Linked DNA regions of Schizosaccharomyces pombe. The gene in region 2 interacts genetically with the main gene of each other region. Each region holds a gene or a part of one and is shown on either strand. Other genes may lie near its edges. The genes, in order: dli1 and klp2.

Evidence for each region.
Region 1: of klp2 (region 2) and dli1, changing one enhances a phenotype caused by changing the other (phenotypic enhancement), as found in Schizosaccharomyces pombe (one study listed by BioGRID).

Annotation. Positions count from the first base shown.
Region 1 is NC_003424.3:4,736,744-4,740,671, forward strand, and holds dli1 (meiotic dynein intermediate light chain Dli1/Dil1), read right to left. Parts: upstream 2,155-3,928; 5' UTR 2,112-2,154; coding exon 2,036-2,111; exon of another isoform or gene 1,998-2,035; coding exon 1,854-1,997; exon of another isoform or gene 1,812-1,853; coding exon 1,587-1,811; exon of another isoform or gene 1,541-1,586; coding exon 1,446-1,540; exon of another isoform or gene 1,405-1,445; coding exon 862-1,404; 3' UTR 738-861; downstream 1-737. Other genes in the region: TTT co-chaperone complex LRR repeat subunit Tel2, read left to right, coding at 1-725; phosphatidylinositol 3-kinase Pik3, read left to right, coding at 3,494-3,928. UniProt on the Schizosaccharomyces pombe protein: Component of the cytoplasmic dynein which acts as a motor for the intracellular retrograde motility of vesicles and organelles along microtubules. Promotes oscillatory nuclear movement and efficient pairing of homologous centromeres during meiotic prophase.
Region 2 is NC_003424.3:1,719,633-1,723,560, forward strand, and holds the start of klp2 (kinesin-14 family minus-end directed microtubule motor Klp2), read left to right. Parts: upstream 1-2,321; 5' UTR 2,322-2,362; coding exon 2,363-2,392; exon of another isoform or gene 2,393-2,437; coding exon 2,438-3,928. Other genes in the region: gamma-glutamyltranspeptidase Ggt1, read left to right, coding at 1-1,756. UniProt on the Schizosaccharomyces pombe protein: Minus end-directed microtubule (MT) motor that is involved in spindle microtubule shortening, kinetochore capture, and polarization of cytoplasmic microtubules. During mitosis, promotes spindle microtubule shortening by depolymerization.

The DNA.
Region 1 (3,928 bases), 3.0 Mb from region 2:
GTCTTTTTCCCAGCCAGTTACTTCCAGGAAATTTACACGATCAGTTTTATTCACCCACTATTGAAAAGATTAGTGATGAATTAGAAAGGAAATTAGTTTTTCCGGTAATGAGTGAATGCAAGGATTATGCGGAGGGACCGAAATTCTTACAGACACGGTATATTTCAAAGCAGTCGGAAATCGAGTCGAAAAAGCCACTCCCAAAGGCCAATCGATTATCGCTTAAGGTAGATAAATCATTGTTCCTGCTCCTCACCAGTGGTTATATGCTGGCATCTAGGAAAACGGCTTTTATTGAGCCTTTGTTTTTAGTCTACTATCTTAAGACATTGGGTATTCTCTTTTTTGAAACTTTTACCTCAAAGATAGAAGGGGCAAACAGAATGCTCCGGGAATATGTTGACGTTTTAAATGAGGTCTGCCGACTTCGATCAGACACTCCAGAAGTTAATGAAGGGCTTTTGTTTAGTTTTTTGGCTATCTTAGAAATATCTTCTGGGCGTACTTTAGCTAATGAGTTTGGGAAGCATTTGCTCTTCTTTGAGGCGTATACTAAGTTTCTTTTTGAAAGCCCTGATCAAGGTGAGAAAGTTAAGTCACTCTCAGCAGCTGTTTTAATTCTATTTGAAAATAAACTTTCAGAATTCAGAACGCTCGCATTGGAAAAATTACTGGATGACTCAGCTCCTTTGGTTCCAGAGCGATTTGGATTAGCCGGACTTTAATAGTTCTTTATGGTCATGATTTAAAAGAAAAAAAATATTATTTATGAGGTTGAAATTTTGACAGAAACTCATTAATGCATTTTAATTAAATAATATGATTTTGTAATAATAATGAATGTCTTTAGGCCAATTACAATTATTGAATTAAGTCCTTCCACAAACTTGATTTTATGGAGGATTTATTTAATTTGTTTGAAGAATACGTTTTAATCTCGCTATACTTGTTCTGTAGTTCTTGCAAAAAAACTTGGTGCGATTTGTAGGGTATATCTCCATCCGATATTTTTGAGGAATGACAGTTCAACATCGATATACTCTTATCAAATAAACCAAGTAATAAACTTATGTCAAGAGTATCGTAAAAATTTTTAGCGGTTTGTTTAAAAAGGGCGATATTAAATTCATGATTGACACTCTGTATTTTAGAGATAGTGTCCCAACAAGGAGGTATAAACATAGTTTCTGATTGAATTGTTTGAGCATGAAAATCTCGAGGTTTAAACTTTTGAAACATAAAATTATACTTCATTAAAACGTTGAGATTATTCCAGCTTGTTGGGTCCGCTGAGATAGAAACAATTGAGGACGTTGGTACGGATAAAAGTGTCGTTCGCAAAAACTGTAAAATAAATTCCTGTGAATTATCGACTGAGGTATGCAAGCCTAAAGCATGCTTCAACTACAAATTAGTAAATGTGCAAGTATTCAAGGGTATCTTACCTGTTTCAGAACAACCGTAAAGTTTAGTAGAATACCACTACTTATATCCAATGTTGTCGAGTTCTTATCCAGTAAAGCTACCAGTTTTTTGTTCTCTAAAGCAGATCAGTTAACAGGATAATTGAGTTCAATCAATCTTACGAGACTCTTCAAATCGATTCCTCACAGTTTCCTCGGTATTTATAAGAATTGTTTTCATATTCCGAAGTATATTTAATAACTTCTCCGGAAAGGAAACTAACGCGGAAAGAGTCTGCGCTACGACCATTATTATCCATAACAGATCCAATCCATGCTCGTTTAAAGCTTGACTAACAAGAAAATTGAATAGTCCACCAGTTAAATGTGAAATTTGCCAAAAGTTTACTAGCAGCATGAGATAATTGGTTAATCGTACTAATCGCGTACCTTTCACTTGATCCTTTGTAAAGAAACACTTATAAGCAATTCCTCGAAAATTTACAGTTTCACAATCATTTGATAATTCTGAATAACTTCCCCCGCTAAAACATCCGTGCTCGTTCATACATTGTATAATATCGAGGTCTTCACCTATTCATGATAAATAAGAATTTCAATATGGAGCGTACCTATGCATATAATACTACATGCTTTCGGTTCCTTCTTTTTGAGATCGTTTAGCAACTTTTCCAATAATTCATCCATATGCAATTATTTATGTAGTTCACTAATAAAAGTGTTCAGGCACAAGTCAAAGACAAACGATTAAACTTTAGCTAAAAGGGATCATTTAGATGACGAAGTTCAGATCTCAAGTTTATTATAATACAATGAAAATCGTTATATTTTTACAAGTACTAGTATGCTAGACATATTCTTTAATAATGTATCTGCCCGAGGTTAAAGCAAAATCTTCATAATATATAGAATTAAAATAAATGAATAAAATTCCCACTCAACTTTGTTTTAAATTGGTGAAGTAATAATGCCAACAGCTTTTGAGTCACTTTCACGATAAATTTGCAAAAGCGACCGATAAGAGAATCCCGCAAATTGAAGTCAATTAAGATTTAAATATAATTTTTTATGAATTTAAAAACAGGAAAATCTTATGAGAAAATTCCACTGGTTTACGCAGACACGTATTTTTTATAAACTGATACTAAAATAGGGCCTCTATAAAATAATTAGTTTTATTATGAAAGATTAATAATTAGTTCGTTCTAAATTTTACAATTAAATAAAAATTTAAAATTATCAGACTTTTAATATGCTTTTGCTCCGAATATTATATGAATATATGACAGTAAATCTACAGGCTTGTTATTTTATCGAACTTATTTTTTTAAAAAATTACCAGATAAAATAAAATATTAAAACATTCATTTTTATCATTTAATGTTATTTACGTTCACTTTTAAGCAAATTGTTAGGTCTTCTTTTACAACAACGTTAATTCATAAAACTGTATTTTTTATATTTCAAGAAAGTGTGAATTTATATCAATTATTGCAAAAGATTATGTGCTGTTGAATGAACCACATAGTTGATCGTATTGTTAACCAAGCAGCAATTGTTGCTTAGTTCCTAGTCGTTCCGGTGCTTGAAAACTAAAAATAATTAATTCAATGTGAGCAAACACAAAACATAAAACACCATTAGCGCATAGAGGGTATAGGTGATCAATTATTCAGAGCAGTTTTAGCTTCTTCGGCTTTACCATTTATTCCGCCTCAAGCTTTGCTTACAGTGTTATGTTCAGACACTCAAAACTTGACTTTACATCGAGATGTAGAGATGAATGCGTCCTATTTTTTGTATTTCAAAAATTACAGCAAAAACACTTGTGTAGTAGATTATGAGATATTATTATTATTATACCGTATTCAGCATTTTGTACTTATTTTACGAAGTATTTCTTAAATTCCACAGTATTATAATTCATCATTGCTTCGTGTACTTTAGCTACAGCCTTTCTTGTCTTACCACATTTAGTAAAGCTAGTACACCACCACATTAACAATCCCAGGCTATTATTTGTATGGTAAAAAGTGAAATTTCCAAAAAATAAATGCTTTACATATGGAATGGATAGACTTGTTTTTTCATATTGTCCTTCAAGCAAGGTGACTGCCAGATTCTTGGTTAAATTTTGCTTCATTGAATATCAAGATAGTCAAGAACCATGCATTTGCACCATTCAATTGTTTTCAGGGAATGAATCAGGATCTTTAATGCAAAAATGTTTCGTTTCAAAAATACCAAATAAGAGTCTACTTCCTACTGAGCTTTCTAAGATATCAACTCATGAGTGGCTCGACTTTGGGGTTACCGTTTCTGAGCTCTCATTGAACGCAAAATTTGTAGTGTCTGCCTGGAAACCATCCTTTAATGATGAGGAAGTCTATGAATTTGTGGGCTGTACAACGTATCGACTTTTTGATGAAAATAATTTACTAAGGCAAGGTCTCCAAAAAATACCTTTACAGACTTCAAAAGAAATAAAGAAGTACTCGCCAACA
Region 2 (3,928 bases):
TCGTCCCTCTATTCTTGTCACATTTCTTGTTTTGGCAGGCACAATACTTTCTTTATACATCTGGCCAATTTTATCTCCCGACCTTTTTTTTGCAAATCAACGGTGCTCCTTCAAATATAAAAACAAAGGCTCGCAGAGAGTAGTAGTTGAAGGAAAAAATGGAGTTGTGGCTACGGAGGAAGAGACATGCTCCCAAATTGGTGTTGGCATCTTGAAGGCCGGTGGAAATGCAGTGGATGCGGCTATCGCATCGGGAATTTGCATTGGAGCTGTCAATTCATTTTCAAGTGGTATTGGCGGTGGTGGATTTATGTTAATACGCCATCCAAATGGTACAGCACATTCCTTGAACTTTCGCGAGACTGCTCCAGCGGGTGCCAGCAAAAATATGTTTCATGGTAACTCTACCCTGTCACAGGTAGGTGGTCTTTCCGTTGCCGTCCCTGGTGAAATTGCTGGCTACGAGCGTGCTTGGAAAATGTATGGCTCTCTACCTTGGCATAAGTTGTTTGAACCAACCATACGTCTTATGAGAGATGGAATGCCAATGCCCAAGGAACTTGCGTCTCGCATCAGACGACCCGAGTTTTCCTATTTCAAGACTCATCCAGATTGGTCTAAAATATTTGCTCCAGAAGGTGTTTTTTTACACGTTGGAGAAAAGTTTTATCGGCCTGCTCTAGCGTCTACCCTCGAAGAAATAGCTAAGTTTGGTCCTGAAGTGTTTTACACAGGAAAAATTGCAGAAAGGCTTGTAAAGTTTGTTCAACAGCAAGGAGGTATACTAACCATGGAGGATATGGCCAATTTTTCAGTTGTTGTGGAGGAACCTATTTATGGTAACTTCTATGATCGTGAGGTTATTACTTGTGGATCCCCTTGTAGTGGAGAGGCTTTGATTTTAGGTTTAAATGTTCTTTCAAAAGTAGATTTAAGTGAAGGTACTTCTATCCTTGGTTGTGAAATGACGGATATTGGCGTGCACCATCTAATTGAAACAATGAAATGGATGTCCGCTGGACGGACTGTATTAGCAGACCCAACTTTTTACAATAATACAGATCATGTTGAACAGTTACTTTCTTTGGAATATGCTGATGAAATTCGCAATAATATTTCTAACGAGAGGACTTTTGATTTTACTCACTACAAGGCCGAATACGATTTCCCTAACGATCACGGCACTACTCATCTTTCCGTTATCGACAAAGACAATATGGCAGTCGGACTCACAGCTTCTATCAATTTGATGTTTGGTTCACAACTTTTGGAACCTGAAACGGGTATTATACTGAATGATCACATGGACGATTTTGCTTCTCCAGGAATAGTGAATGCTTTCGGTTTGAGTCCATCGCCATACAACTTTATTGCCCCTGGTAAGCGACCACAAAGCTCCGCGGTGCCTACGATTTTGGTATATAATGGTGAAGTTGAAATGGTTCTTGGTGGTAGCGGTGGCAGCCGAATCGTGACAGCTGTGTTAGACACAATTATTAAAAAATATAAATGGGGCAAGTCATTGTTAGAATCTGTTGAGAGTCCTAGATTTCATCATCAGCTAATGCCTAATATCGTCTATATCGATGAAACTGTTGAAATTGAAGTTCTTAGAGCTTTAGAAAAGTTTGGTCATATAGTGGATTTAATCCCCGTTCAATATCCTTTCAGTGAAATTCAAGCTGTTTTCCGCACCAACGGCACATTGTACGGTTTAAGTGATAGCCGAAAACAGGCTGTTGCTGCTGCCTATTAAAATTTCACTAAATTATTAAAAAAAACTCCTTAGACGCTCACAAAATTTTCCTTTATTTGTTGTTATTAATTTATCAGGTTTATTAACTTATTCTCAATCTTTATGTGCTTTTTACTGATCTTTAGCTTGTGGCTGGGATGAGAGAAAAATATTATAAAGCATAAAACGTATGAATGATCACTGTCTACATATTTGTGCACATGATGGTGATGATTGGACCTTCGTTAGTTAGATAGATTACATTCTTTCCTAGATTTAGAAAGTTTTAGCAAAACGAAGAACAATTACATTTAACTTTCGAATTTATTCTAACCGTAACATAATATATCTTCATACTTTAAACGTAAAACAGTAAAATATTTCTTTCGATGTACGAATGGCAAATATTCCTTTACTAATTAAAAATACTTTACTGTGTTAATTAATACTAAATCATTAAATTGAATTAAAGATTCACATAATATCGGATATTTGCTTTTGACCTTCGTGGTCCATGGAATACCACCATACAAATTGTTGAATAGTGAACTTTTGATTTAAGCTTATGAAACTCAACTTCTCTAACACCTTACAATACCCACATGTTTTTGGGGAAAAGGAGAAAGTATGGAAGAAGAAGGACATAAAAGTTTAACTGTAAGAACAAATTTAAGTGTAATTTATTAATTTTTTTCCTTATAGTCGCATCTACCTCAGTCCTCGAGTTCTTTGTCGCAAAGTCGAGAAATTGCTAAAGAATTTACGTCTAATATACCTCCTCCGACTATTAAAACTAATTCATCTTCATCAAATATTCTGAAACCTCGGTTATCATTGCAAAATGAAGTTAACCAACTGAAACCTGCTAAATTTCCCAGTAAGATGTTACCACCAGGAAGCTTAGCCTCGGTTAAATCTTCTAGTCTTGCAAAAAAAGCCAGGCCTTTTACCGCGTCCTCTAATCCCAGGATGCCCAAGTCTGCACATCCCATTTCAAGTCGGTCAGTGTCTGCTTCTTCTCATTTTGGTAGACCTGCCAGTGCTGTTTCATCCAGTTTAAATAGTAGCGATGATGTGAGAAGTATGTCAGATGAAAGTATGGAATCTTATAATGATGAAAAGTCTGTTAATGCCAGCGCCTTAAGGACTACAGAAGACCGGTTGAGGAGTATGGAAATGGCTTATGCTCAATTATCGGCTAAAGTTATTCCTTCACCCTCAAAAAGACCAGCTAATTACAAATTTTACGAACAGAGAATTGCTATGCTTGAAGAATCATTAGAAGTCGAGAGGAGTCGTACATCGGAGTTACAAGAACAATTTTCAGTGGCTCTGAGAGAAAAAGCTGAGGCGGAGGCTAATAAAATCGTTTCTCAAAAGGGTATGGAGAGTTTGGAGATAATGTTAAACTCAATGAAAAGTGAAAATCATCAGCGCATGGCCATGTTGGAAGAGAACCATGCTCGGGTGATGGAGACAGCTGAGCTTCAGCATCAAGCAGAATTACAGGATTTTGCTTCCAATATTGAACAAAAAGCAAATAGTTTAATCATGGAGTACAAAAATGAATTGCAGTCTGCCGAAGAACACTTTTCACACAAGATTAAAGAGCTTACTTCAGAAAATGAACTCAAAATTTCCAGACTACAAGAGGAAAAGGATTCTTTATTAAAGAAAGTTCAGGAGGGCGCTTCGCTGGCTATGCAACGTGTCCAAAATAAGCATGATCTAGAAAAAAAAAGACTGCAATCTGCAATTCAACCGCTTCAGGAAGAAAATAATTCTTTGAAACAGCAGATTGAACAATTACAAAGAGAACTTGCTTCTGAAACAGTTGTTAAGGAAAATCTGAAATCTTCGTTGGACCAACAAAGTGCCAACGTTCAGAAGCTTGAATCTACAAATCGGGCTTTAGAAAGCACTATCAAAACACTTGAAGAAGATGTTTATACTATGAAAAATAAGATTATAGAACTAGAAGGCATTTTAAAATCTGCCAATGTTGAGAGAGACGGTTTAGTTGAGAAACTCATAGCTGAGGAAACTCTGAGAAGAAAACTCCATAATACCATTCAAGAACTTAAAGGTAACATACGCGTTTTTTGTCGAGTGCGACCTCCCCTTGGCGATGGAGAATCAGCACAAATAGCTTTTCCTGATCAAAATTCCGAAGCTAGTACTATAGAGATTGTT